Drosophila melanogaster: one gene and its partners. The protein of the gene in region 3 interacts with the protein of the main gene of each other region in a pairwise test. Each region holds a gene or a part of one and is shown on either strand. Other genes may lie near its edges. The genes, in order: TwdlL, Pka-R1, Elal and Rox8.

What was found.
Region 1: the proteins of Elal (region 3) and TwdlL interact in a two-hybrid assay, tested with the Drosophila melanogaster proteins (one large-scale study listed by BioGRID).
Region 2: the proteins of Elal (region 3) and Pka-R1 interact in a two-hybrid assay, tested with the Drosophila melanogaster proteins (one large-scale study listed by BioGRID).
Region 4: the proteins of Elal (region 3) and Rox8 interact in a two-hybrid assay, tested with the Drosophila melanogaster proteins (one large-scale study listed by BioGRID).

What each region holds. Positions count from the first base shown.
Region 1 is NT_033777.3:26,622,328-26,628,256, forward strand, and holds TwdlL (TweedleL), read right to left. Parts: upstream 3,326-5,929; 5' UTR 3,276-3,325; coding exon 3,261-3,275; exon of another isoform or gene 3,197-3,260; coding exon 2,354-3,196; 3' UTR 2,260-2,353; downstream 1-2,259. Other genes in the region: TwdlB (TweedleB), read right to left, coding at 241-1,086, 1,155-1,169; TwdlO (TweedleO), read right to left, coding at 3,681-4,370; TwdlK (TweedleK), read right to left, coding at 5,637-5,929.
Region 2 is NT_037436.4:20,817,453-20,824,733, reverse strand, and holds the start of Pka-R1 (protein kinase, cAMP-dependent, regulatory subunit type 1), read right to left. Parts: upstream 5,770-7,281; 5' UTR 5,700-5,769; coding exon 5,265-5,699; intron 4,404-5,264; exon of another isoform or gene 4,011-4,403; coding exon of another isoform or gene 4,008-4,010; intron 1-4,007. Other genes in the region: Mst77F (Male-specific transcript 77F), read left to right, coding at 6,856-7,137, 7,200-7,281.
Region 3 is NT_033777.3:24,862,546-24,869,658, reverse strand, and holds Elal (Elastin-like), read right to left. Parts: upstream 4,310-7,113; 5' UTR 4,290-4,309; coding exon 3,815-4,289; intron 3,648-3,814; coding exon 3,133-3,647; 3' UTR 2,008-3,132; downstream 1-2,007. Other genes in the region: CycB3 (cyclin B3), read left to right, coding at 1-858; Srg1 (Sting-regulated gene 1), read left to right, coding at 4,953-5,381; CG7016 (uncharacterized protein), read right to left, coding at 5,590-6,678.
Region 4 is NT_033777.3:24,039,787-24,050,254, reverse strand, and holds Rox8 (Rox8), read left to right. Parts: upstream 1-1,989; 5' UTR 1,990-2,142; exon of another isoform or gene 2,143-2,465; intron 2,466-2,533; exon of another isoform or gene 2,534-2,756; intron 2,757-2,886; exon of another isoform or gene 2,887-3,067; intron 3,068-3,242; exon of another isoform or gene 3,243-3,317; intron 3,318-3,763; 5' UTR 3,764-4,589; coding exon 4,590-4,817; intron 4,818-4,988; coding exon 4,989-5,897; intron 5,898-5,964; coding exon 5,965-6,058; intron 6,059-6,109; coding exon 6,110-6,291; 3' UTR 6,292-7,199; downstream 7,200-10,468. Other genes in the region: Atg6 (Autophagy-related 6), read left to right, coding at 1-836, 891-996; CG5986 (uncharacterized protein), read right to left, coding at 1,167-1,769, 1,828-1,923; spas (spastin), read right to left, coding at 8,631-9,376, 9,435-9,687, 9,783-9,949, 10,159-10,344.

The DNA of each region.
Region 1 (5,929 bases), 1.8 Mb from region 3:
AACCCATCCGCAAACAATCAAGCCAAACAAGGCGGACTTAATGCACCATTAGCTACTATGGCCAAGCCGCAATAAAAATCTCACTCTATAAAACACATAAGGTAGACCTTTGTTTAAATTTTCGTATTTAAATTTCAAATTTATTGGTGTAATTATGCATTAGTCAACAACGTGTAACAGGAAGAATGAGTTCTTCAGTCGAGATTTGCTTAAGTTAATGGAGTCCAAGATGTAGCCTTCCTAGAAACGCAGACGACGGAACACAGAAGTGGGCAGGTAGGCGTTGTCGGGGATCTGGGCGTTAGCCTTCTGGACGGGTCCAGCGGAGGCGAAGTTCAGGGCGGGTGCAACACCACCATCATGAGCCTGAGAGGATCCTCCCAGCTGGTCGTACTGACCCTGGATGGCGCGCTGGGCGTTGGCAGCATCCTCGGGAGTGCGGTACTTGACGAAGTGCACCTCGGGCTTGTTGTTGTTGTTGTTGCGGATGGCGTTCAGTTTCTGGGCAAGATCTCCAATATCAGCCTGCTTGTTCAGGACATAGATGGCGGTCTCCTGCTGGGCAGCCTGCTTGGCGAGGGCCAGGGCAGCGTTCTCCAGACCACGGTTCTCGGGTCCCTTGATGAAGACAACGCGCAGTCCCTTGTTTACGGATCCAGCAACACGCTCCAGTTCTTGTGGCTCATCGAAGTCCTGCTCGTTGGCGGAGTAGGTGAAGAATTCCTTCTGGAGCTCAGCAGCGGGAGCGGGGGCGTTGTAGGAGACTGGAGCGGCCAGAGCGTCGCCACCTCCTAGACCACCGAGTCCACCAAGACCGCCAAGACCGGAATCGATGGAGCCACCACCGATGGAACCACCAAGGGATCCACCTCCGATGCTTCCTCCTCCGATAGAGCCACCACCAATGAGGCCTCCTCCAATAGAGCCTCCTCCAATAGAACCTCCTCCGATGGAGCCTCCTCCAATAGATCCACCACTGATAGAGCCGCTGCCAGGAGCGAAGGACAGTCCGGAGCTGGAGTGGCCAACGGGCTGGTAGTTGTAGCCGAGCTTATCGGCGCAGGTGACTGCCACCAAACACAGGACCTGGAGGCATGAAAAGAGAAGTGTTATCCTGGCGTATAATCCTTTGAATCCTTAACCGCGCTACTTACAATGAATGCGCGCATCTTAAGCAGATTGCTGGTTCTTTTGCTTTGAGGTATGAGTTGCTTGTGTCTCTGGCTAGGAGCGATCTTTATTATTTATACAAATCCATCTTGGAGGCTGATAAAGACAAAGATACCGCCGCGGCGTCTGCTGCACGGAGATTTCTTTGAAGCCACTGTGTTTTGCCGCCTACAAAGGTTTTTGCTTCCTCTGTTTTTTTTAATGTTCGGTGTGGAATTTTTTGGTTGCGTTTCAATGGGCAGAGTCTGGCCGTCGTGGGTTATTCAAATATTTCGAGTTTCGTCCAATAGTTTACAAGAATTCATATTGAATTATAAAATTAATATGTCGCGAGCACGTCGGAATGAGTTTAACATGCAGATGGGTCATAATTAGGTACGAGTATTATATAAAATACATTTTTTTGACAAATTCTTCGGCAAGGCTAAAAGCTTGTTTTATGTAGGACATCTGCACTTGGTTTTTCCGACTGAATGACAATCGTTTAGTCATTATAATCGTTTTCGACACATCTGTTTAGTTCTGATTTATGGACATGATGCAAGCGCTAAATTTAGCAAGTCGTCTAATGAGATGTTTGAAATGCCGCCCCCAGTTCATTGATTCTTTATTTTCGCATATATTACTAATGAAATAAAAAATTTAACTTGAGAGTGGTGAAAACGATATGTTTATATTTAATTTAACTTTTTTGTCGTAAAAACATTTTGCCTACATTTAAAATATGCGGAAATATTTTATTTTATTCTTTTCCCAGTACTTCGTAGGATAATATTTTGGTTATGACAAATATTAAACGTCAAGGTCATCGGGAAGCTGCCTTGGGTAATATAGCTTACCAAATTCTTAATGAGTTTTAAAGGTCTTTTGCTTTGTATTAAGTTAATAGCGTTGCACCTTTTTAAGAATAAATTCAAATTAAAAGTCATTACCAAACTTTTTGTGCAATAAAAACAGGTCGAAAAATCTCACCAAAGACTGAAATAATTTTCTAAAAGCCCAACTTGTAACTCCACTCATGTTGTCATCGGAAGGTATACACTATTGTTTACTACACCACCATCCAATATAAAATATCATAGAATGTTTGTATTCAGATTTTTGTATATTATTTATCAATAGATTTCAACAATAAGATTTAACAAGAACAGTCAACGCCTTCATCTCGAAGTCGTTAAAATATTTACAAACGACGACGGAAGATGGAAGTGGGCAGGTAAGCGTTCTCAGGGATCTGAGCATTAGCCTTCTGGACGGGACCAGCGGAGGCGAAGTTCAGGGCGGGTGCCACACCACCGTTGTGGGCCTGAGAGGATCCTCCCAATTGGTCGTACTGCGACTGGATGGCGCGCTGGGCGTTGGCAGCATCCTCGGGAGTGCGGTACTTGACGAAGTGCACCTCGGGCTTGTTGTTATTGTTGTTGCGGATGGCGTTCAGTTTCTGGGCAAGATCTCCAATATCGGCCTGCTTGTTCAGGACATAGATGGCGGTCTCCTGCTGGGCAGCCTGCTTGGCGAGGGCTAGGGCAGCGTTCTCCAGACCACGGTTCTCGGGTCCCTTGATGAAGACAACGCGCAGTCCCTTGTTTACGGATCCAGCAACACGCTCCAGTTCTTGTGGCTCATCGAAGTCCTGCTCGTTGGCGGAGTAGGTGAAGAACTCCTTCTGGAGCTCAGCAGCGGGAGCGGGGGCGTTGTAGGAGACTGGAGCGGCCAGAGCGTCGCCACCTCCTAGACCACCGAGTCCACCAAGACCGCCAAGACCGGAATCAATAGAGCCACCACCGATGGAACCACCAAGGGAACCACCTCCAATGGAACCGCCTCCGATAGAGCCACCACCAATGAGGCCTCCTCCAATGGATCCTCCTCCAATGGAGCCTCCTCCAATCGAACCACCTCCAATGGATCCACCTCCAATGCTGCCACTTCCAGGAGCAAAGGACAGTCCGGAGCTGGAGTGTCCCACGGGCTGGTAGTTGTAGCCGAGCTTATCGGCGCAGGCGACTGCCACCAGGCACATTACCTACAGGATTCAAGGGTTATCCGTTAGTTGTGAATTCGTCTTAAGTCCTGGCTACACCACTTACGATGAAGGCGCGCATCTTTAGTTTTGGGTTTGAGGTTCTCTTGGTTCGGAGCACAAATTGCTTCTGCCTATGACCACGGCGGCGGTAACTATATATACTAACCCAACTTCGAAGCTGGCGGCGCAGTTTTTCGAAGACAAAGCGCTGATGCTGCTAAATGTTTTGTCCGCCTACAAAGTAGGCAGCGAACGGCTTTTGTTCGGGCTCGCAGAGCAATTCAGCTTTGCATAAATGTTATTATAAGGAAAAGCTATTAAAAAACAAACAAATTGCAATGGCCGATGACAAAGTCAGAAACTTCGAAGATCTAGATTAAAAATAGATATATAAATCTAAGCGTATTTGTTTTTATCGATTTTCGTTTTTTATTCAATTACATTTATACAACACATTTAACAACTGTCGGTTTTCGTTCGGTCCTTAACGGATGCGCAGGCGACGCAGGATGTTGGCGGGCAGGTAGGAGTTGCTCGTGGCGGCGGCTGGTGGGGAGTAGTTGGGGCCACGACGAGCGGGAACCACGGGGGCAGCGGAGGCGAAGTTGATGGCGTTGGCAACTCCTCCGTTGATGGACTGGCTGGATCCTCCCAGGTTATCGTACTGCGACTGGATGGCACGCTGGGCATTGGCCGCATCCTCGGGAGTCCTGTACTTGACGAAGTGCACCTCAGGACGCTGGTTGGAGTTCTGGCGGGCGGCATTGAATTTCTGGGCCAGATCTCCAATGTCGGTCTGCTTGTTCAAGACATAGATGGCGGTCCTCTGCTCGGCAGCCTGCTTGGCGAGGGCCAGAGCAGCGTTCTCCAGGCCACGGTTTTCGGGTCCCTTGATGAAGACCACGCGGAGTCCCTTGTTCACGGAGCCGGCGATCTTCTGGGCGGCCAGAGGATCCTCGAACTGGCTCTCGTCAGCCTCGAAGGTGTAGTACTCCTTGTTCAGTTCGCTGGAGACCGAGTAGTCCGGGCTGCTGGCAGCACCATCGTAGGAGTCGCCAACACTGCTTCCGGAGTAACTGGGAACATTATCGGAGGCGGCTCCGGTAAATCCCGCTCCGTAGTTGTACTGGGCGCATGCGGCACCAATCAGGCAGAAAGCGATGAGGAAACGCATGGTGAAGGTTTGGTTTTGTAGGCTGGGTGTGCTTAACAGGCAAAGGCCAAGACTGAATCCTGAGACTGAGGTGAGCAGCTTATATACCCATCTGGCGTAGTTAGAACCGACTTAGAACTATAACCGACACCATTCCCGTCGGGTTGCTACATAACTCAACTAGTTTTTTATGCAAAGCGGTGCGCTTATGAAATGATTATGCAAACTATCCTAAAATTCTCGCCAATACATCCAGTCGGCGACCCCCGACTTTCTGCCCAATTGCAAAAGCCAAATTCTCGACCGGTTCATGGCGCCGCGATTTATTCTTGACCGGGGCAAAACTGCCCGGAATTCGATTGGGGAAAATGCTGCAAAACTATCAAACCCGTTTCCAAAAAAAAAGTCAGAGCCCGTCCAAAAATGTTCTGATGGTCATTAAAGTCGAACACAATGTGATGCATTCTTTGAGTTCCGCCTACGAAACGATAAAATCTTAATCTATGCGAACTCCATTGATAGTTAATGGTTTGTTGTTGCTTTCTGTTTGTCGCCTTTTTTGCTATCGAAAGTGGGTCTAGAATTTGAAGTGACTTTTTAGTTTGAGGTTCAAAGTCAAAAAGAATGTCGGAAGCTTGCTTTGAACTCTGGGCAAACCTGTTTTAAATAGTCTGGGAATTCCATACAAGTCCCGTATATAAGAGCCAGAATATTTGCGTCCAGTCAGTTTAAAATCTCATTTAAACGGAGAAGAAGAACGTACAAGCAATCAAACAATATGAAAAATGCTGTGTTTGGATAGAAGGATATCATCATCAAAAGTTCTGCTGATACTTTTCTGTAATCCATACAAAATAATCGTTTGATAGTGTTTTGTCATCTTAAGCTAAGCGAATGAAAGTGAAGGGTTTTAACGTTAAATTTTATTTTCCTTATTTTTGAAAACTATAAATTTTCTTCAGTTGGAGTTCAACTGATGTGTTCATGTGTCATTCATTCAGAGGCGTTCATAAAATAAGCATTTAAGTTTTTTTCATCCAAAACATTTTTTTTTTCAAATGAATGAAAATATGAATATATATATATTAATGAATATATATGTAGGAAAATAAAGTGTAAAATACAATAAGTTGTTTGGATTTGTTTCGGCTAAAAATCCGTCTTAAGTGTTCTGTTTACGGAATCGCCCAAAAAAATCAAATCAGATTACAACAATTATTTTTTTTTATTTATGGAATAAGACAACATGATAACTAGGCAACAAAATCAACATCCTGTAAATGGCACTTAAACACGGAAGCGACGGAAGATGTTGGCGGGCAGGTAGCTTGGTCCTGGAGCACTGGCAGCGGTGCTCTCGCGTGGAGCCGGCTGGGAGGCGAAGTTCAGGGTAGAGGCAACACCTCCATTCTGGGACTGACTGGATCCTCCCAACTGATCGTACTGACCCTGAATGGCACTCTGGGCGTTGGCAGCATCCTCGGGAGTGCGGTACTTGACGAAGTGCACCTCGGGCTTGTTGTTGTTGTTGTTGCGGATGGAGTTCAGCTTGTTGGCCAGATCACCGATATCAGCCTGCT
Region 2 (7,281 bases), on a different chromosome or scaffold from region 3:
AAGAAGCTGGGGTCGGAAAAATCGAATTTTTGAAATTTGAAAGCTGGAATCGTTTGCCCATTTTTTGCCCATGTTTGCCCACCAATTAGTTTTTTTTGCCCACGTCCAGTTTTTGAGATATGAATTTTCGAAAAAGTTCGAAAATTTTCGAAAATCAAAAATTTCGCTTTTTTCAAAATTTTTTTTTTTAAATCGCAATAACATCGTTTGCCCACGTTTGCCCACCCTTTAGAATTTTGAAAAAATTTATACTTTAGAAAATATAAGGCTTTTAAGTTTACCTCGGTCTAATCAGAGAGTAAATCGTTTGCCCATCTCTTAAAACCAAATATTATCAACAAAAAACGTTTGCCCAACCATTATTATTAGTTTTTATCGTTTGCCCACCCTTTAAAAAACCTTTAACAAAAATTTGTTTTCGATTGCCCACACTTGAAATACAACCAATTTCGTTAGCCCACCTCTTCAAAATAAATATTTCCAATAAAAAACGTTTTCCCACCATTTAAAAATAAATAATTTCGATTGCCCACCTTTTAAAACTAAATAATTTCGTTTGCCCATCCTTTAAAATTCATTTTTAACGTTTGCCCACCCTTTAAAAATAAATTATTTCGTTTGCCCACCCTTTAAAATTTGTTTTTTTCGTTTGCCCACTCTTAAAACTAAATAATTTCGATTGCCCACCTTTTAAAACTAAATAATTTCGTTTGCCCATCCTAAAATCTTAAGAATAAATAAATTCTATTGCCCACCATATAAACACGTGCCACTTTCCTAGTTTTAGGATCTGCCTACATAACACGTGCAGACGCACAGGTGTTTCTGGGTTTATATAGACCAAAAATTGGTTCCGATTGCCAATCTTGTAATTTACAGTTTACCAGGTAATTACATAATTTTCAAACCTCACTTTATGATAGGGTCCAATTTTTTACCTGTGACAAAGTGTTAAATTTTTTATGAATGGGTTTTTCATGGCAGGTCAGAATCCTCTATAAAATCTAAAACACTTGTCGGTATTTGAAAATCGCTCTCCTCCTTGATACTCATATTAGGTGTAAAAGATAAATCCGGAACTCATAATTAAAATATTTTTTATGTGAAAAAGTTGTGCGCGATTTTAACTACGCTTACCCAGTGCTGGAAAAGTTAAAGTTGTTTTGTTTTTCAAAGAAAGTGAAAGTTGCTAAGCACGAACTTAAGAAATCTGAGTGATTGTGTTAAATTTATTTGAATCCTTGTGAATTTTGTTGACAGTCTTTTTAAAGACTTGCAAAATTTCCATATTATTCGGTTCTTGCTTTTATTTTTATACAACGCGTTTTTCCTTTAGGCATACCTTTATACATTTACAGTGTAAACAACAGTGTAAAACGTGTAAATCAGTGCAAAATAGTTTTTTTTTATTTACTCCATAAAAAATAAGTGTTACTGTCAGGATGCCGGCCAAACCGCAAGTCGATGGTCACACCTTAGTGGATGCATTTTGCTGCGCGAATATTTTTACGGAGACTGGAGCTCTTAAGCCAAGAAGCGATAAAGTTTGGATGGATATAAGCAACCAATTGAAAGGAGCGATCAGCGCGAAGACGCTTAATTTCTATGCCAGAATCAATAGGAATAACATGATAACTGTGGTTAAAGAACGATGTGGAATTCAACAGCTGGATACTAGTGCCAATTTAACTTTAAATAGCCTAGACCCTATCATAAAGGGTGGGCAAACGAAATAATTTATTTTTAAAGGGTGGGCAAACGTTAAAAATGAATTTTAAAGGATGGGCAAACGAAATTATTTAGTTTTAAAAGGTGGGCAATCGAAATTATTTAGTTTTAAGAGTGGGCAAACGAAAAAAACAAATTTTAAAGGGTGGGCAAACGAAATAATTTATTTTTAAAGGGTGGGCAAACGTTAAAAATGAATTTTAAAGGATGGGCAAACGAAATTATTTAGTTTTAAAAGGTGGGCAATCGAAATTATTTAGTTTTAAGAGTGGGCAAACGAAAAAAACAAATTTTAAAGGGTGGGCAAACGAAATAATTTATTTTTAAAGGGTGGGCAAACGTTAAAAATGAATTTTAAAGGATGGGCAAACGAAATTATTTAGTTTTAAAAGGTGGGCAATCGAAATTATTTAGTTTTAAGAGTGGGCAAACGAAAAAAACAAATTTTAAAGGGTGGGCAAACGTTAAAAATGAATTTTAAAGGATGGGCAAACGAAATTATTTAGTTTTAAAAGGTGGGCAATCGAAATTATTTAGTTTTAAGAGTGGGCAAACGAAAAAAACAAATTTTAAAGGGTGGGCAAACGAAATAATTTATTTTTAAAGGGTGGGCAAACGTTAAAAATGAATTTTAAAGGATGGGCATACGAAATTATTTAGTTTTAAAAGGTGGGCAATCGAAATTATTTAGTTTTAAGAGTGGGCAAACGAAAAAAACAAATTTTAAAGGGTGGGCAAACGAAATAATTTATTTTTAAAGGGTGGGCAAACGTTAAAAATGAATTTTAAAGGATGGGCAAACGAAATTATTTAGTTTTAAAAGGAGGGCAATCGAAATTATTTAGTTTTAAGAGTGGGCAAACTAAAAAAACAAATTTTAAAGGGTGGGCAAACGAAATAATTTATTTTTAAAGGGTGGGCAAACGTTAAAAATGAATTTTAAAGGATGGGCAAACGAAATTATTTAGTTTTAAAAGGTGGGCAATCGAAATTATTTAGTTTTAAGAGTGGGCAAACGAAAAAAACAAATTTTAAAGGGTGGGCAAACGAAATAATTTATTTTTAAAGGGTGGGCAAACGTTAAAAATGAATTTTAAAGGATGGGCAAACGAAATTATTTAGTTTTAAAGAGCGCAGGGCAATCGAAATTATTTATTTTTAAATGGTGGGCAAACGTTTTTTATTGGAAATTTTTATTTTAAAGAGGTGGGCTAACGAAATTGGGTGTATTTTAAATGTGGGCAATCGAAAAAAAATTTTTGTTAAAGGTTTTTTAAAGGGTGGGCAAACGATAAAAACTAATAATAATGGTTGGGCAAACCTTTTTTGTTGATAATATTTGGTTTTAAGAGATGGGCAAACGATTTACTCTCTGATTAGACCGAGGTAAACTTAAAAGCCTTATATTTTCTAAAGTATAAATTTTTTCAAAATTCTAAAGGGTGGGCAAACGTGGGCAAACGATGTTATTGCGATTTAAAAAAAAAAATTTTGAAAAAAGCGAAATTTTTGATTTTCGAAAATTTTCGAACTTTTTCGAAAATTCATATCTCAAAAACTGGACGTGGGCAAAAAAAACTAATTGGTGGGCAAACATGGGCAAAAAATGGGCAAACGATTCCAGCTTTCAAATTTCAAAAATTCGATTTTTCCGACCCCAGCTTCTTTGAGCTCATAAATTGCTTTCATCGGACCCACTTAAAAATATCACAGAAATCGTTTTAATGCGATGCGAGTGCATAAAAAGGAAATAAAAGGTAGTAAAATAACAATTTAATCAAGTAAACAGAGCATAATTCGAGGCCATATTTCGGGGAAATTTTTCATTGGAATTGTATGTTAAATGCTTTGCGTTCTGGAAGGAAACAAACAGATTGGATAGAATACGAGTGTTGATTTCATTTAAAATTGTTGATTTTCATTAAAAAAAAATGTTGTCAATTTGTTTTTCCTCAAGGAGACTATTTATATAGCTTGGAAGAAAAATGTATCCAGTTATACCTTGATGGCAATTCGATAATCGGAAAGTAATATTACTATTAACAACTTTGAGTTCTAATAAATATCTAAAAATGAGAATTGTATACCTTTCAATGGGATAATATAGAAATATGAAGGAACGGAAGAAGAATGAATACTTGAATGTTAAAGATTAAGGATTCTTAAGCGTTAATGCAATGGGACCCTTTCTCTTCCTCACTATAAAAACGCTATTGAAACCAATTCTTTCCGAAATATTTACCAAGTTAACCGTATTTAACACTTCGAATTTTACCCACCATTTCGCTGGTCGAGTTCCTGTCACTTCCGCTTTGGCACTTTTCCAACCTCGTTTGGCCAACACAATTGATTGTTGTTTGTCTGTACTTTATGGCGGACACTGGGGACAAAGTGTCCGGCGTAGTTTTTGGCACGATTCCGCTGTTAATCAGAAGCCGGCGTAAACAGCGCCGGACGGAGCGATGACAGCCGTAAAAGCGGCATTAACACGACCGTTAAACCGGACAATTCGATGATCGGAGCAGCGGAATTCGCGTGGCCATCAATCAGGCAAGAAAGTCGAAAAGTAACGACCGCAAAAGGTGAATGGTAACTAGTAAATTGAGCAGTTAAGTTGGCGAAAAAACTAAAATTGGGAACAACGATGGGCAACTGACGGTGGCCAAAAAGTGACTGAGACAAACGAAAGGACGAAAGCAAACTCTAGCAGCCAGACACAAACACAATCTCGACGACGACAGGATGACCTTCACCAACACGCCCAGCGAAGGCAACCTTTCTATATATACACAAATATATACATACAAATACGACTGGCCAAAAAGTAAAGTTTTTCGCACACCCGCCCACCACCTCACACACATACACTCGCACTTGTGACGCAAGTCCTGGCAAAGGGAAAAGCTTTTACGGGAGAAAAGGGCCAGAAGTGCTAAAGGGAAAGCGAAGGGAGCGCTTTGATTTCGTTAGAATTCCCTTCGAGTTTCAAGTGCAAACTCGACATTTTGTCGCAAAAAGCAGCTCGTGGGGCATTATGAAATGCACTTTCTTTAAATTAGTATATAGTTTAGGTTACTATATTCTACTGTATCCCAAAAATTAACCCCTTTCCATTTACCTTTTTGCAAAAAATAAATTTATAATGTTTAAATAAAATGTGAACATTTTCTTCCTGTTCGTTCTTTTTCTTCAGATACGAAAGATATTTTGAAAGAATTAAAAGGCCTTAACGTAAAACATAGCAAACTTTTTCATATTTTATTAAATTTTTATATTCTAAGTAGGGTATTAGGTGCTCGCGGAATAAGGTAAACATTTTTTTGCATGTTTTTATTTGTGTTAGAACTAACGACATCGTGATTTGTAGTCACAAATCGAATCAACAAGACACCAATTTCAAACGATTCAAAGCTTTCTAGTATGCGCACACTCCCACACTTTAAATCTTTTTTCCGCCAAAAGCTTTTCAGCACAAATTCCTAGTGATTTCCTACTGTTTTCCGGAAATTGGAAACTTTTCCGACTTTCCAACTTACTTCGCGTTCCCGCTGGCGCTCAAGCTCAAGTTCCTGTTCACGTTCGCGGGCCAGAGTGGAGAGATGAATCTGCAGGCTGCGATCGCTGACGGCATCCTCCTCGGGAATTGTGGTGCAGGAGGTGCGAACATGCCGCATGCGATGCACTGCATCCAAGCTCAGCCGATGTTCGTGATCATCGCGGAGCAGAGCATCGAACATGGCCACCCCGCCATCGATGCTACTTTCGCGCAGGATGCGTCCGCCGCGTCCACTGCAATGGGGACTCTGCTGCTGATTCTGCTGATGCTGATGATGATGGTGGGTGGTGGCCACCACGCCCTCCGAAAACGAACGGATGCGCATGGCGCCGTTGGCATCGGTGGTCAAAGCCACCGAGCGGAAGCGATCGATGACCGCATCCTGGATGCTGTTCACACTCAACTGGTTGCCCATGGCGCGCGGAGGCAAACAAATAAAAAGCAAACGAACGGAGTGAACTAGGTGGAAGCAGGATGCTTCTGCACGGCGTCAGGATGCTAATCCAACTGACAGCGGGTCCGGCATTCAACAGGCAACTTGCCCCAGAGAGTCCGGCGCACACACACAGGCGTACTCAAAATCAAAGTTGGGAGAAAAAGGGGTAAGGAAAGTCGCTTGGCAAGTGAGAGGGGGAACAGGACGATGTGGAAAGGACCTCCACAGGTGCGCTGCTCTATTTACATTGCAGCATTGCAAGCTTTTGCTGCAGCCTGTCTCACAAAATAAACTTTAAAGCTTCACAATGAACAGAGGGAATACAGTTCTCCGAAGCAGGAAGCCGAAAATAAAGCATCCGTGCTGGGAAATCCACCTATGGATGGGTTTTTTTTTTAACAATCCGCTCGAAAATAGACCGCAAGTTGTATTGATTTTCGTTTAAGCGGCAGCATTAACCAGCAAAATGCCGCTTGTTGCTTACCAAGTGGTTGAAACCCCGGAAAGGAACGTAGTCGCACAGGATAATTTAAACACCTTCCCTCACCAACGACATTTCTGGTATTTCTTACATATTTTGTTCAGATTATAATATAACATTTAGTATTGCTTTTGTAAAATATTTGTTCATTTCATTTCATTGAAAACAAGGAAGTACGCTATTCTATTTCGTGAATATCAGATACGCGTTACTCAGCTAGTCGGATTGCAAACAGAATATTAAAACCTTTTTCAAGACACACGGACGGACGAATATGGCCAGCTCGACTGATACTGATCAAGAAACATTAAACATTTTCTCCTACAATATCTTGAACGAATATAGTATACAAAAATAACCATGGAAATATGGCGCCGATCTGCGAAATGTACTTTGAAAACAGCCAACTTGGTTTGAAAAAAGGAACTTTTTCTTGATCATAGTAGAATTGAGCCTTCATTCAAATCCAATTTCCAGGTCTCCACGCTGAAGCCAGCATACAAACAGTTAGTACACTACCTTTGAACGAGGAACAACTAAAATATTTCGATAAAATTGAGTACAGTTTTTTATACATATATAATTTTTTTTTGTATAATTCTGAGTAACAAATTTGTTTGTGAAAATTTCTGTCGAGCAAGAATTGGTTGCAAAATGAGTAATCTGAAACAAAAGGATAGCAAGCCGGAGGTGGCAGTAACAAAATCAGTGAAAACCTATAAAAAATCAATTGAATATGTTAATTCCGACGCCTCCGACATTGAAGAAGATATCAATAGGGCAGAGGACGAATACGCCTCATCGTCTGGCTTTGTTAATTTTCTGAGGGACTTTAAGAAGCGCTACGGAGAATATTACTCGAATAACGAGATAAGACGGGCTGCTGAAACCCGATGGAACGAAATGTCATTCCGTCATCGATGCCAGTATTCTGCGGTAAGTTAGGTGTCGAATACAAACGAAATGCACATGTATGCAATCGTAATGCACTTCCGCAGGAACCATTGGACACTTTTCATGTAGAGCCCAACAGTGTGAGCAGTCTTCAGCGTTCTAGTGAGGGCGAGCACAGAATGCACT
Region 3 (7,113 bases):
TTCGACCGCAAGAACTGGGACGATCCCTTCCAGGTGTCCCACTACGCCATGGATATATTCAACTACCTCAAAGTGCGCGAAGCGGAATTCCCCATTGCCGACTATATGCCCAGGCAGATCCATCTGACCACCTGGATGCGCACCCTGTTGGTCGACTGGATGGTGGAGGTGCAGGAAACGTTCGAGCTGAACCACGAGACTCTGTACCTAGCGGTTAAGATCGTCGATCTGTATCTCTGCCGCGAGGTGATCAACAAAGAGAAGCTGCAACTTCTGGGCGCCGCTGCCTTCTTTATTGCCTGCAAGTACGATGAGCGACAGCCGCCGCTTATAGAGGATTTTTTGTATATCTGCGATGGTGCTTATAATCACGACGAGCTGGTGCGAATGGAGCGGGAGACGCTGCGCGTTATCAAGTACGATCTGGGCATCCCGCTCTCGTACCGTTTCCTGCGCCGCTATGCCCGATGCGCCAAGGTGCCTATGCCCACGCTGACCCTGGCTCGATACATCCTGGAATTGTCGCTCATGGATTACGCCAATATTTCGTTCAGTGACTCGCAGATGGCTTCGGCCGCACTGTTCATGGCACTGCGTATGCACGGCGGTCCGGGGCAGCTGGACAAGCAGACGTGGACATCGACGCTTATCTACTACACCGGCTATCAATTGGCGGACTTTGCTGAAATTGTGACCGCGCTCAATGCAGGACTGCATCGCAAGCCACGGGCCACCATCAAGACGATACGGAACAAGTACTCGCACAAAATATTCCACGAGGTGGCCAAGGTGCCGCTGCTGACGAACCAGGAGCTCTTCCAGGGCAACCTTGACCTGAACGAAAGCAATCTGTCGTAGGACAGCCTCAAAGTTTAGCCAAATTCAACATGATACGATACGCTTCACTTAGGCTCTAAGACGCTTCTATTCCCAATATTAGCCCCATCCCGACGAAACAGCGGATCCCCGCCTTAATCTAAAAACCCCTGATTTTACCCCTTACCTAGTGTTCCCGTCAAGTCCTCGCAATTTATTATATTTTAATTATTATTGTGACCTTCGCATTATTGACATGTTTTTTGCATAAATATTATGTTAAGAGTGCTTTTGTTTCTTTTTGCCATGTATTATTGTTTAATTTTCCCACATACCGCATACGTAGCCGAACACAATCAATCTAAACTCGAAAGGCGACATTATCTTTAGCACCCCCACCCAAAAAATCCCAAAACGATTCATGTTTTAATATGTACGTTAGTCTTAAGAGATGCCAGCATTAAATAAACCTAACTCGTAAGCCACCAAAGCAGACACGGATCCCCACTAACTTATTCTACACAGATACACAAACGCAAGGATACGAAGCGACTATGAAAGGCACGTGTGTCCCGTACAACCTGGAAATGCGCTGCGATCAACCCTCGTCCCGTGCACGCCATGTACGCCATGTGCATCTGTTCCTGTCGTCGTTATTAATGCTGTTATTTGTTAAGTCGTTCATGGACTCCCCTCCTTGCGCTCACATTCCCGCCCCTCGAAGGACGCTCACCATCAACTTCCCAGTTCCTGATCATACCGCCCCGCCCCGCCCTGCCTCAGTTCACCTCGTTTATCCATGGATGGTTGATAACGTTGCATTGTTGAAGTAACTAGTTATGTATGTACTCAGTGTTATGTATGTATCGTTTTGCGAGAGAATACCAATAAACATTTTTACGTCCGTTCAAAAATACTTCAATCTTTTTACCATCATTACATTCGGAAAACGGTGGGCGAAGTGAAAAAATTCTTACTTTTAATAGGGTAAGTGCAATAAATTCGTATTTTTATTTTTCTTTCTAGAAAACTCTTTTAAAAACCTGATGGAAGTTTCAAAATCGGGTGAGTATTAACTCAGATATAACTAGTTGAATGCAATTGTAGTATCATTAGTGTTTATGTTTACTTTAAATAAGTATTTTAAATTAGCTGTCTTTATCCAGCATGTTGGAAATGATCCTAGTTCCTAGGGGATTAAATAATTTAGGGCATTATTTTCAATTTCCTAGAATCTGGAATGTATGTATTTGTTGCAGTTCAATCTTTAATTGTTAGAAACAGAGCATAAACTCCTAGATGTCAAAGGTTAAGGGAAAACGTTTAGCACATCTAGACTTCTTTGCCGTGAGTATACCCATTACCCCACCCATTCTAATTCCTTTGTTTCGAATCCTCTCAGCTGAATCTGTGCTCCTTTCTCCGCGCTCATCATAGAACAGCTGATGGCTGATGACCTAAGGACATCAAACCCTGGCTGGAATCGGTTCGATTTGCTACAGGTAAAAACCACCGATACCGTCCGTCCAAATCATTCATAATCCATGAGTGTAAGTGTCTGTCTGTATACTCGTAGTCTGTATACCCCGGGCATGATTCTCTCGAGTTTCCTGCGGTTCCTTGCTTTTGGCGCGCTCGTCCGTCATTTTAGCGCCAAAAATTTGTTAAGGATTTGCGCGGCAGGCTGCGCATGCGCCGCAAGACATCAAGACGTCGTCCCTTGGTTGGGTTCCTTTCCTTTCCTTCGGCCCTCTCTTTTCCGCTGCACAGCGAAACCCAGCCGATTTATGTCGCTGCAGTTGGGTCCAGCGAAGGGCACCAGGAGTACCAATACCAGTAACAGCGTCTCTCTCTGACGCTGATTTTCTACCACCACCTTTGGCTCGCCCAGAGTCCTGCCTTTGTGCGTTCCCTTTTTTTCGGCTGCCTGCCAGCCAGGTAGCTCCTGTCGTCTTCGATTGTGTCCACGCCGGATAAAAGAAGCGGCATTGCCATAAGAATAAGGAAAAGAATAAGGATGGGATGTGAATGTCTTGGGTTAGCTGTCTGTATGGGAGCAGAATGCCGAGTGCATGTGCTTTATTTTTTCCGGTTCAAGGTGCAACTGGTAACTGGCCAGCATTGCTAATTATCTTGGTTGGGTGTGCAGAAATCAAGTTTATTTCGCAGGGACACACAGGATGATAGGCAAAGACAGCTGCCTCTGGCCAAGGAGGCAGCAGCGAAGTTATGACTACGACTCGGATTACTTCACGCCCCACCAACACCATTACCACTACCACCACCACCGAGGTCCACCCATGATGTCGGCCAGCTTCAGTAGGCCGGCGAGTTGAAGGCACCGTTGTATCCGCCCCCATATCCACTGCCATAGCCAAAGGCATTGTGATTGTTCAGCACTCCAAATGGTCCCTTGTGGACGCCATCCTCCTTGTACTCGGTGTTCATCGAGAAATGATGGTCCCAATGGCTCGGATCAGCGGGATTGTGAGCCGGATAGCGATGATAGTTCATGCCGCTGGTGGCAGGAGCCTGACCAGCTGCTCCGGGCACTCCTGCCACTCCAGGTGCTCCCGGAACTCCAGCTACTCCAGGAACTCCTGGTTGAGCCACAGCTCCGGGTAGCACTCCATAGGCGGGGAACTGGGCTGGTTGAGGGTACGCTGGGTACTGTGGCAAGTATACTCCGGGGTAGGGATAGCCAGGATAGGCACCAGTTCCCGGGAAGTAACCAGGTGCTCCTGCACCCACTGGCTGCTGGGGAGGAACTCCCACCGGATACTGAGCAGGAACTGCTCCAGCAACAGGATAGCCAGGAGGAGAAACAGCACCTAAAAAGGGGACATTTCATTAATATCATAATTTCATATATATTTCAAAATGTGGATTTGCTATTCACCAATCTTTTAAATTTTGTATAACTTTTTTGGGAGTTAAGACTTGATATTAGTTTTCTGATTTCACTAAGATAAATGAACCACCTATTAGAAGGACCTACCTGCACTTTGGTAACCACCGGATGATGAGGATCCTCCTGAAGAGCCTCCTGCAGCTGGGTACGGAACTGGAGCCTGTTGTCCAGGAAAACCCGGAGGCGGATAAGCGGGAATCTGGTGACCTCCTGTAATTGTGAGTGCCGGATTTGGTGACTGGTTGCCAGGAAAAACAACGGAGTTCGTACTGGCCACTCGTACGCCAGAGCCACCCTGCTCATGGCCATGGGCATCGTCGATGGATCCAGTTGCGCCCGCATAACCCGATCCCAGCTGACCAAGGCCAGGATAAAGTTGCGAATTGAGATTGGCCCGCTGGCGATGGCGACTGCTGGTAATGCCTCCCGTCAGAGTGGAGGCCAGGTTAAACTCCGTCTTCTGATCCTCCTGACTTTCGTCCCTGCTGAATTGCGAGGCCTGACCGCTGGCTATCTGGATGAGGGCCAGAGCGGCGAATGCGATGACCCTCCTGCTTAACATGGCGTCTTTGGGTACACTAAAGCCCAGAAGCTCACGGCGCGTGTATTTCATGGTGAGATCTGATGACACGAGAGCTTAGCTGAGTGTCTATTTTTGGGGTTATCATCAGGGGCTCAATGCCCAGATATGTAGTTTAAGTCTCATTGAGTGTTCTTTCTAGTAAATTGAATGAGAGAGTCTACACTGAAAGCAAAAGTTGAAAATATAACACAACAATGTGCATATGCATAGATACTAGCCATAAATTTGAACAAATAAATGAATTTTTTAAAGAAATACCCATATACAAATTTATAAATATAAATGTTATATATAAATTTCTTGCAATGTATAAATTTGCGGCCTAAAGCCAAGTAATAGATAAGTTGAGACGCATTTTTGGTTTAGGGATTTCCCAAGCAATTCATAACTCATCTTTGCATAGATGATGATCATGAGTTATGATCCTCCCTTTATATAGAGAACGAAAGCTTTCCCAGTCAACCTTGTTTACCAGTCAATAGATTAGTATTATAAGTACATATGTACATATAGCATTTGTTCCATTACCCAAGGTTCTTCCACTCGATTCCATTCATCTTTCTTATCGCCATGTGCTGCTGCTGGCTATAAAAGCCGCATGGACATTGGGACTATCAGCAAAATTGCTCTACATATCCCAAGATGCAGTTGTTGGCTGCGATTCTAGTGCTAATCCTGGCCAGCTTGGCCCACGGTAGACCCACTTTCGATAAGATTGCGGAGCTTCTGTTCGGCGACCCAAATCATTATCCGCCAGCAAGGCCAGTTGATCCACAGCTACATCCTGGACCAGGTCCACTCATCCAGGAGGGCTACGAGCAGGGCTACGACTATCACTATGGTGGAGGCTACGGCTACGGTGGTAGCCACCAGCAGACGCATCCAGGTGGCTATGCCTATTACCCACCACGACCGGTTCCGGCAGCAAATGACTACTATCCACCACCTTGGTCAGTGCGTCCTTCGCCTGGATACTACTCTCAGCCGTCTCATCCTGCCAGTGTCCATTATCCGCACAAGAATCAGGATCTTTACGGAGGTGGAGGTGGTTACAAGCAGCGGGGTTACTAACGTTCATCCGTCAGATACCCCAGTCTCATCCAATCATGTGCTGTCTCATTTGTTTATGTGTAATTTATTAAAATTTCGTTTATTTCCAACGAGCTTTTAGAACCTGTTTTGAACTTATGACAAAGACGATCTCGGGTGGAGCAATTGAACAATGGTCTACGAATATATATACAACAAGTGTGAATCGGGGAACTCCCTCTTAGAAGATTCATCTTCGTCTCACATCAATGGGAATTGAGGGAACCTCCGGGTTTGGCACATGGATATATTTGCTAGAGCTGGGGAATATAATAGCACGATTTTCGGAGAGTTCGTCCAATGGTTTTGGCAATGGCTCCGGCACGATCCAAGTGGGAAAAGTGGGCGTGGGTGGATCCGGATTATGGGGCGGCACCAACGGCGGTCGATTGGTTCCTATTATGAGCGTATCCTTCGTTGGCTGAGCGGTTGGACGTGGCTGGATCGTGGGAAAGGTGGGCTCTGGCTTAGGTGTTGTCGTTGGAAAGATGGGTCCTGGTATTGGCGTTTGTGGAGTGGTGCTAGACTCATTATCTGGATTCCAATTCGTGTTTGGATCATTGGGATCCGGCTGATCGGGGAGGCGTGGATAGTTATCCCATTCCTGTTCCATCCCTCCATTCCAGCCTGGCCTTGGTGGCGGAGGTCCTCCGCCATTCCATCCTGGCCTTGGTGGCGGTGGCCCTCCTCCATTCCAGCCTGGCATCGGTGGTGGTGGCCCGCCGCCGTTCCATCCTGGTCTTGGCGGCGGTGGTCCGCCGCCGTTAAAACCTGGTCTTGGTGGAGGTCCTCTTCCACCGCCTCCGTTCCATCCTGGACCATTCCATCCTGGTCCTTGCCCTCCACCTCCATTCCAGCCTGGTGCAAATCCTGTTTGAACCCAGTCAAATCCGGGTTGATTCTGATTTCCACCGGCTCCCCACTGCCAGCCGGGTGGCCAGCCAGGAGGCGTCGGTTGCTGACGGTTGGGTGGTGCAAATCCTGGTCTGTGCATTCCTCCTCGATTCGGACCCATCCCCGGCCTTCCTTGCTGCAGTCTCTCGAACTGCGGCTGCTGGTTGAAGCGGTTGTTGTTGTGCATGGCATTGATCAGTCCATTGATAACTCCGAAACCGGGCAGCTGGGCCACCACAGTGACGCCACCGGCGGAGGCAACAGCTCCGCCGGCGGAGGACGAGGAGACTGCAAATTGCGCGAGACACGTGCGTATCCAGATGGATGCCAAAAGCCAGACGAGCCAGGCCTGGCCAGCACACCAAGCTGGCGAAGATCGCGTCATGTTCGGGTGTTCGAGCAGTGATCACCACAAAAGGCGGACTCTAACTGAGGGGGAACTTTTACGCTCCGCCTATGCGATAATCGTTGATGCTTGATTAAACATTGAAAACCTGTCCGGCGATCAGTGAGAGCATGATGAAAATCAGTGTCCGCAACCAGAGAGATCTTAACCGCTCTCCAAAATAGGTCTCAGAGAGATGATCATAATAATAATCAGACGAAAAGTAAACAAACACCTGAAGCTTGAAAACAAAAATTGAGATACATATATAGTATGTAGTATACAGATTGAAGTATAAAAGAATAAGAGATACAGGCGATGAAAGAGATACTTCAAGTGATGAAAAATCCATAATAGAGGAATAAATGGAAGGGACTTACTAGTAGTATCCGTCCAGTCTTTACAGATCTCTGTATGTTAGTGTTATATTTTAAT
Region 4 (10,468 bases), 820 kb from region 3:
CCGCTGTGCGAAGAGTGTGCCGACTCCATGCTGGAAATCATGGACAGGGAACTGCGCATCGCTGAGGACGAGTGGGATGTGTACAAGGCTTATTTGGATGAACTAGAGCAACAGCGTGTAGCACCCAACGTTGAGGCCCTGGACAAGGAGCTCGACGAACTAAAGCGCAGCGAGCAACAGCTTCTGTCGGAGCTAAAAGAGCTCAAAAAGGAGGAACAATCGCTAAATGATGCCATTGCCGAGGAGGAACAGGAGCGAGAGGAGCTGCACGAGCAGGAGGAAAGCTACTGGCGCGAGTATACCAAGCACAGGCGTGAGCTAATGCTCACCGAGGATGACAAACGAAGTCTGGAGTGTCAGATCGCCTACTCGAAACAGCAGCTGGACAAACTGCGCGACACCAACATATTCAACATCACCTTTCACATCTGGCATGCCGGGCATTTCGGTACCATTAATAACTTTAGGCTGGGTCGATTGCCCTCTGTATCCGTGGACTGGTCAGAGATCAACGCCGCTTGGGGCCAGACGGTGCTTCTGCTCTCTGCGCTTGCTCGTAAGATAGGGCTCACCTTCGAGCGGTATCGTGTAGTACCCTTTGGAAATCATTCGTATGTTGAGGTGCTCGGCGAGAATCGAGAGCTCCCGCTTTATGGCAGCGGCGGATTTAAGTTTTTCTGGGACACCAAGTTTGATGCTGCCATGGTAGCTTTTCTCGACTGTCTTACCCAGTTCCAGAAGGAGGTCGAGAAGCGCGACACCGAGTTCCTGCTGCCCTACAAGATGGAGAAGGGCAAGATCATCGATCCCTCCACGGGAAATTCCTATTCTATTAAGTAGGTTTAGAAATGGTAAAGATTTTACCTATAATAATGATGGTTTCCTTACAGAATCCAGTTTAACTCGGAGGAGCAGTGGACCAAGGCACTGAAATTCATGCTAACCAACCTGAAATGGGGATTGGCCTGGGTTTCTTCACAGTTTGTGTCACCGTGATTTTTCTTTCTCTTTTAAATGTATATTTATAAATTACTTAATTATCCCCATAGTATTAAATCTAAATCTTTCAAATTTTAAATGAGAAGTATTTATATTGTTATGTTTATTTCAGGTAAATTTTGAAATAAGAACGTCTTTGGTACATACTTAATTCAAAAGTTATTTATCTAGTTTTGTATAGCTTTTTTCTGTGTTTTTGGCTCCTCCTCGCTGTCGTCAGAGTCAGAGTCGGATCCAGAGATGTCATCGTCTATCCAGAGTGTGCCCTTTTTCTTCTTTTTTGCCTTGGTCTTGTCTACGGCGGGGGATTTCCTCTTTGTGCCACTGGAAGTTGCTTCCTCGACGCCTTTCTCCTTGTTCTCCTCGGCCTGCTTGAGTCCCTCCTCGAAGGCGTCGTTTACCTTCTCGGTCAGATTAGCCCTGGCTTCCTCGTACTTATCGTCCTTAAAGTCGTGCTTGGGCACGGCCAGCAGTTTCTCGATTTTTCGCTTTTTACGCTCCTCGGCCTCCCGTTCCCGTTCGCCCTGCTTCTCCAGCCAGGCGCGCACCCGCTTCTCCTCGTTGATATCCCGCAAACGGCGACCACTTAGATCGCGGCAAGCCTCGCGATTGGTTGTCTTTTCAATTTGCGCACCAATGGCTCGAAGCATGGAACCAAATCCTCCTTTGCCACCGAGCTGGCGGAGAACGCAGTGAACATCTCCAGATGAAATTTCTCCCTCCAAGCGCTTGCCATTGCTGACTAAGTAGTATTCCCCTGGTTGCAGGTTCTGTAAAAAAAAGGGCCACATTGCAAAATCTTATGAAAATTATACATAACATACTCACTGTTTTCTCCGCAATCCGACTGTAAAGCTCATCACATTTAACGTGATCTCCACAAGAAATTATATATTTACTGTTTATAAAAATATTTATGCCCATTTCGACGACCTTTTCGATAACGATTGTTATTTCTAGTCTGCTTTGTGCTGCATTTGCGCCCGCGGTGAGTGTGTTAGAGAGAGAAAGCGGTGATGCAAGCGTTATCGCCTGCCCTAGGGTTGCCCCCTTTTCGATAACGTTGCTTCAAATAACTTAAAGTCGCGAATTAATGTGTGATCCTTGTCATATTATCGCTGAATTTCCATTAAATACCCCTACGTAAGTAATTTTATAAAAAAATCTTGTCAAGTCCATACTCTTTATTGCATTTCCCATCTTGCCGCCATTGCGTTTTTATTTCTCAGCAAGTTGGCAGCCCTGGCTCTCGCACACAAAATCTCATTAATTAGTTCGCATTTTAGACGACGAAGGTAAAATTTTAGCGACGCGTTCAACGTACATTTGCAGCCCCTAACAACTTTGAAAGTTTCGCAAAATTAATACAAACCGGTAGCGGCTAAACTTGACCGTCAAATGAAGTGTGCGAACAGAGTGCAGAGCAAGTAAAATGCGGTAAATTTACAAACGCAGCCACGTCACAGAGAGCGCATTAAAGAAAAAAGAAGAGAGTGCGAATTTTGACAGCGAAATTCGAGTCTGAACAATGGACATTAAGCGAATGCACTATAGTGCGGCGGGGACGATAATTGTTAAGCCCAGTTTTCGGCACCGCTGTCAGGCAGCAGGGTCGGGGCGGAGGCGTGGCGGTTGTTGGTGGCGGGGGAGCGGCATTAAAAGATGGCAGCACAAAAGCGAACAAGATACATACATATACGTACATATAGCGGCAAGCTGAAAAGGCAAATGAAAAGTCCCGCATTCAAATCGTCTTGGTATTGGTATATTGGCATTAGTTTAAATACACTCAATAGCCAAAAGCGGAAAAAAGCAAAAGCAAAAGAAAAGTGGAGACTCATGTGAGGAAAACGCAAACAAAAAGACCAGCGCAAGACGCCTCTCTCTGCGTGTGTGTGTGTGCGTGTCGGTGCTAATGTGTCAGTGTGTGTGCGAAAAAGAGACGAAGAAAATAAGCAGCAAATGAGCAACCAAAACCACCCCGCCATTCCCTTTTCGCCGTCTCTTCAGTTCTGTGACTTTGACTGACATTTTCTAGCGCCGCCGCCGCAGAAATAATCAAAATCAAGTTTAGTTCTATGCAAATTAAAATTTGATTTCGCAAAGTGTGAAGAAGAAGAACACGAATCTAATGCAACCGTGTGTGTCACCCGCCCGCCGGTTTCGCAAAATTTCCCACATCTTTCTCTTCCTTTTCCCTGTTTTTCTTTCTCCTCATTTTGTTATCGACGGTCATTCATCTTCTAGTCGATTTTCGTCGTTCTCCTTTCGCCCTCGTCTCGCTGGCGTGCCTGAGTGTGCATTTCTGTGTGCTGTGCGTGAGTGGCCCAAAAAAAAATTTGTAAATGTGAATACAGAAATATATTAATTATAAACTAAATCATTTTGCAAGGCCCGCAAATTTGTTGCGAATGAATGGCTATTGTCAATTGTTGGCCATTCGCTTTGTTATAAAGACAGGCAGTCTCTTTCCCCTGTCCTTTCCCACCCGCCTCTCTCGCTCCGAAGATAGCTCACTCACTCTCCCCGTGTTTTTCGTGTGCGCCAGTGTGTGTGAGCGTGCGTCTGTGTGTGCGTGTCCCTGCACTGCTTTGCCGCCTTCTTTGTTCCCATCATGCGAAAAGGGGGCGGGGCGGGGTAGTCGATTTATATCCATATCATTTGCGCCTGTTTTAAGGCCCACCGATCATGTGCCATTAGACCTTGTCCCACTCTTCCGGTTATCAGCGCAAAACTAACCCAAATTTACCTCTCTCTTTTACAGCAGCAACGATTCCAGGGGTCAGCTTCGAAACCCGAAAAGTACACTCAGCCTGCGAACTTTCACGCTGTTTAACTTAGCTAACTAATTTTTGTACAAGAGCAAGAATAAGTAGTCGCAACCAAGTATTCATATGTACATTTATACAATCCTGTATATTGGAACGGACAACTATTTATAATCACAACAACAACATCCGGATCATCGAAGAAGGATCGAGCAATTCTGAAATACCAAGTAGTGTACACCAAGAAACCCCGAATCCAAATCCCAGGCCCCCAGGAAAGGAAGTCAACCGATTATAGACATATATATTAGGCGACTAATCGTATATTCCAAAACACTCCATTAGCGTTTAGTTAGGACAGATATATTTATACGTATACATATAGATGTTTAACGAAATTTTCAATTAGGCGCCAGATTAGGAACAAAATAAAGCAATAAACGACGAACCTCAGCGTTAAGCAAATAGATCAACCTACCTAGATTGAGCATATAAAGTTTATATAATCCAAAAAAATCAAGCCAAGCCGAGAGTAAGTCGAAAGTAGTAGAAAATCAAAGTATTCAAATCTCTCTTGGAGTTTCCTGTTAGCAGCTAGCACCAATTAGATTGCCGCAAATACACCTGTTTAATTAGCAGACACTTTAGATTTTGTACGTAGCTAGGAACTTAATCTGCAAATTTTTGATACATCCCCTTCCGATTAATGCGGCCAGGTGCAGTAGTTGCAATTCCGGTTTTAGTGTAGAGTCAGTAGATTGTCGCTGTAGCCTAGTGTATAATCAGATCAAAAAAGCCACAGTCCCGTGACATCCGACAGCCATGGACGAGTCGCAACCGAAGACCCTATACGTGGGCAACCTGGATAGCTCAGTGTCCGAGGACCTGCTAATTGCCCTCTTCAGCACCATGGGGCCCGTCAAAAGCTGCAAAATCATTCGGGAACCGGGCAACGATCCATATGCCTTCATCGAATATTCCAACTACCAGGCAGCCACAACAGCTCTGACCGCCATGAATAAACGCCTATTCCTCGAAAAGGAAATCAAGGTAAGCTGATTAGCTTCTCTTAAGTTATCAAGTGGACAGCGGTCATTTTCATTCATTTTGTTCGAAACTACACTCTTGCAACACACACATTCCCCACGACCAAGCCCTCATGTTATTTTAATTATGTAGAACTTAATTGATTATTACCTATTAAACGAATGCTCTTCGCAGGTCAACTGGGCCACCAGTCCCGGCAATCAGCCGAAGACAGACATCAGTTCGCACCACCACATATTCGTGGGCGACCTCAGTCCCGAGATTGAGACAGAAACACTGCGCGAGGCTTTCGCCCCATTCGGAGAGATCTCCAACTGTCGCATTGTGCGCGACCCTCACACCATGAAGTCAAAGGGTTACGCCTTCGTGTCGTTTGTGAAAAAGGCGGAGGCAGAGAACGCCATCCAGGCGATGAACGGCCAGTGGATTGGCTCGCGCTCGATACGCACCAACTGGTCCACGCGCAAGCTGCCACCACCACGCGAGCCTTCCAAGGGCGGAGGCCAGGGAGGCGGAATGGGTGGCGGACCGGGCAATGGGTCCGGTGTAAAGGGAAGTCAACGCCACACCTTCGAGGAAGTGTATAACCAGTCGAGCCCCACCAACACCACCGTATACTGTGGCGGATTCCCGCCGAATGTCATCAGTGACGACCTGATGCACAAGCACTTCGTCCAGTTTGGTCCCATCCAGGACGTGCGGGTCTTCAAGGACAAGGGCTTCTCGTTCATCAAGTTTGTTACCAAGGAGGCAGCCGCCCACGCCATCGAGCACACGCACAACAGCGAGGTACATGGAAACCTGGTAAAGTGCTTCTGGGGCAAAGAGAACGGAGGCGATAACTCGGCCAATAACCTCAATGCCGCCGCTGCCGCGGCAGCAGCCTCTGCCAATGTTGCCGCCGTTGCGGCAGCCAATGCTGCGGTTGCCGCTGGAGCGGGTATGCCCGGTCAGATGATGACGCAGCAACAGATCGCCGCCGCAACAGGAGCGGCGATACCCGGCCAAATGATGACACCCCAGCAGATTGCGGCGCAGTATCCATACGCGTACCAGCAGATGGGCTACTGGTATCCACCTGCGGTAAGTGTTGTATTCTTTAAATACGCAGTGACCTAAAGATTGACCCTAACTTTGTGCTTTTCTGCAGACTTATCCCACAACCCAGATGCAGACGCAATACATGCAGCAGGGCTACTATCCCTACGCCTACCCTACCAGTGCTCAGCAAGCGGGAGGAGTCCGTAAGTTTACTTTTCTCAGTTGCTGAATAATCGTGACCTTGGCTTAAACAGCTTGCATACAATTTTCAGCGGCTGGATACCGCATGGTGCCGCCGAATGTAGCATGGGGCGTGCCCGGAACTGTGGTGCCCGGTGTGACGGCTGCCGCAGCATCCGCGGCCGCTGCAGCGAACGGATCACTTGCCCCCCAAATGATGTACAGTGCTGCGATGCCACAATACCAGACCCAATGAGCTGAGATGTGACGCCAGCTTCGACGCCGTTTGCAGCATCCGGGAAGTCGCCCCCAGCCGCAGCCACAACCACCTCTGCTGCATCAGCTTCCGCACCTGCAGCAGTTGCAAGCGCATTACGCACGTTTAGGTTACGTACAATACCGAGTAGTAGCAAAGTCGGAGCCGCTCCTGGCCATGCCGTTGACCAGCGGCAGCAGCCACATTGACGGTGGCAATGTATCTGGAGATTATTAAGGATGCGCGAGTGTCCACTTTGAAGTTGTGGCTACGGTTGCGGCTGACTGCGGTGGAAGGAAGCGGAATCGGGTGTGGTATATAGCCCCCCAAAGTCGAACGTTAAGGCGGTGCGTGGAGCTCAACTTCAAGTGATCCACGCCGGCGACAACTGAAAGAACATCAATTGAAAAGCTCCGGGCGATGGGCGGGTAGCTGTAACAATCTAATCCAATCTAAGTACGTGTTAAATTAATTTAATGATTTCTAATTTAAGCAGATATAGGCGTATAAACGAAACGGAAATAAAATAAACCGAATGAGAAATTCAACAAAAACAAACAAATAAAAACTGAAAAGAGAAAATGCTAATTACGCGCGACAGAGTTAAAACAAAAAGAAAACAATCGAAACAAAAACGTGACAAAGCAAATTGTAATTGTAACTATGTGGAACATGTGTCAACGAAAACTGAAGACGGAAAGAGGGTAGTTTCAGTGGGATGAAAGGATAGCCGCAAGCAAGCAAGCCGAATGCAAAAACAAGAGGAAAAACAAATTTAGTCACTAAGAGAATGTAAATTCGAGCATACATATTGTATATTTCCAATGTGGAAAACGAAATGCGATATAAATATGTAAAATGTAAAATAAAGAAGCAAAAAAATATATAAAACAAGTGAGAAAACGAAGGGACGCTGGTTTTTATATTGAGGTAATGAATTAGGATGTGGAATTATTATTTCAAACTTTAATTTATATCATTGATGATAGAAGTGGTTACTACTACTACAAATCTGGTGGAGGATTCAGCGGAGTCTAAAATATAGTTAAAAAGTAATTAACTTTTACAATTGTGCTAAAAAGTTTTCTTAAGGTATAACATACATACATGAATGAATTTTATAGCTTTAATATTCTCTAGTGAGACGCAGTTTTTCTGCGAAACTAGTTTTCATGAATGCTTAATTCTTCTGCTTACTTTCTCTTAATTTAAATGCACCTGGTGATGTCAGCCGTTGCTCAATTCTCAATACACTACCAATGGTTTCCAATAGCTTAGAATTTTGTTGATGATTAAGAATGCAATTGATGTTTCTTGAAATCGATTTTATTTAGCGTATTCTATAGATTTCTTTATATATATAGTTTTATATGCATGTAGTTTTTTTTTGTATCTGTGTTTAGTAACTAGTCAAAGAACTCAAATTCCGGGTGGGCGAGCTGCGTTGAAGCTGGTTCAATGTGTCGCGATAAGCGACGGGCATGTGCGCGGGTGAAGATGTATCTGATCGATCTGATAACACCAGATCCATACGCACCTGCTAGGTACAACATTTTTGGGTGTGTTACTAATAATATAGGTGAATCGGAGACGATTGTATTTATGGCTGTAGGTACATAGATTGAAACAAAGGAACTAAACTAGACTAACCATACGGACAGTGATAACTATTAAAACTTAAATACGATTCTGCGCTGGTAAATGTATCTTTGTGGGTGTGTATAAGTATATCATCGGTCTTAGGTCTACGCTTACTTCTAGATTACATGTAGCTTGTGGATGGGCACTCAATGTACAACAAAAATATGCTTTATAGTTCAAGGATACAATGGAAGTAGTTGTGAACTCCTTGGGCCGCCTGTCTTACAAAAAATCACTACGGAATGTTTCAAAAAACTAATTTATAAAGCAATGTGGCCTTGAATTACTATCATAAACGAAGATAGGGCAAACCTACTATTCTAAGAACTCCAATGAAAAGTACAGATCTTAGAAATATATACCATGAGTATGAGTATAACGATAATGGAGCTGCATGGCAAATGTTGCACCACATGGACATGGTGGTTAAACAACGAAAAAATACAATACAATGTTCTTAGGCTAAAACACCAGAAATAGCTGGGAAACAAATCATATTAAATAACTCACAGGTAAATACAAATGTAACAATGTTTGTGAAACGAAAAGTCTACGGATTGAATAGAACCTTAAGGGCGAAAAACATGGGTCACATAATCAAAACTAGTGTAACGACAATGGGTTGCGCTCTGAGACTCACATCACAGCTTCTCCAAATTGGATTGATGAAGGAGGGCAGGATCATTGGCTAGAACAGACTAGATGGTGATGTCGCCATAATCTTGCGACCACTTCTCATATGAGTTGAGGCTTTGCGGCGCCACCGAGCGCCTGATGCGCTTGAGCGAACTGTGAAAGTCCTGCTCTGTGATTGCACGCATTGCACTGATGTCCAGACACTTCACTTGCTCCACATTCAACTCTCGAATGGGCTCCAATGCGGCGTCCTTGGCCAGTGCCGTTAAGTCGGAGCCCGAGTATCCGTCTGTTATCTTTGCAAGGCGACGCAACGCCTCGGTATCCAACGGACTGCCTTGCTTCTGGAGCAGTCGATTGAGGAGCAGCTCGCGGGTTTGCTCGTCGGGCAGTGAGACGTAAACGCGCTTTGTGAACCGACGCAGGGCTGCCTCGTCCAATTCCTGCGGTCGATTGGTGGCGGCCAGCACCACGATCCTGTCTCCGTCTGGATTTCCAGGCAGCCCATCGAACTCCACTAGAAACTCGGTCTTTAGGCGACGCGATGCTTCATGCTCGCTGCTGCTTCGCTCTGAAAGCAACGAGTCCACCTCGTCGATGAAAATAATGGAGGGCTGCATGTGACGGGCCACGGCGAAGAGAGCCCTCACCAGTTTCTCGCCATCCCCCACGTACTTGCTGGTCAGCGAGGCAGCCGAAATGTTCAGGAAGGTGGCACTACACTCAGTAGCCACGGCGCGGGCCAGCAGTGTCTTGCCATTTCCGGGAGGACCAAACAGCAATAAACCCTTAGCCGGTGCACGAAGCCCTAAAAAGGAAGAAGATTGGTTATGGTGACGGTTCTAGTCGCAGAATAACCAACTCACCCGTAAAGAGTTCCGGTCGGACGGAGGGTAGAATGACCATTTCCTGTAGAGCCTGCTTGGCCACATCCTGACCGGCAATGTCAGTCCACTCCACTTTGGCCCCACCCTCGACGATCTCGTCGAGTATAAGTTGCACCAGCTTCTGTTCCACTCCCTTCACACTAACCACCGGAGTGCTGGCGCCACTGCCACTGGGTCCGTTGTTGTTTATGGGAGTCCGCGAACGCTGGGGCGGCGTATTACGCCCCGAAGACTGTAATATGAGTAATTTAGTTTAATTAGTATTTTAATTTCTGAGTATTTGCCAAATGTGTAAAAACAAATTTAGTTTACTTATCAGATACTCACAAATTGTCGCCGAACGGCGGGAGGCGTTGCAGCTGTCTTGGCTGGTTGCCTTTGGACTGCGCCTACAGATGTTTTGGAGCCAAGGTTGCGGGGCAGCGTTTGTGATTTGTTGGCCACGGCCAAGTTGACGGGTCGTTTGGATCCAATTGTCAGTTTGCGGCCAGATGCTGTGAACGAATTAGCACAATCAGAGATGGATAATGCGGAAGAATATACTCTTTTACAAGTTTACAATTTGGCCAATCGAAATAAAAAATTCTAAGAAAATCAAGTGCCAAGTGAGGTGATAGGGATTGACTAATCGATCTGCTTATGGTGGCTTTGCGCTGGCGTGTGAGGATCTTGTTGGGTGCGCGTTAGCTGGTGAGGAACTTACCAGTGGGTTGGGCACTGGTGGTGGCCTTGGGCCCATAGCCACTGCTGCGCACCCTTAGTTTCATTGGTTCGTTGGTCATTCCTGCCAGCATGGGCTCCCTGGTCTTCTGCGGCTTGCTTTGAGCCTCTTCTTTCTGCTTCTCCTTTAAGGAGAGGCGCTGCATTTGCAAATCCTGCTCACGCAGAGCTGCGCACCGGATGAACATGTGCATATGGACAAAACGGAGGGGACAACAAAAAAGCAGGGGAAAACGTGCAAAATGAAATAAAAAAAAAATGAGGTAAACAAATCCTATGTTTTAGGGGTATAG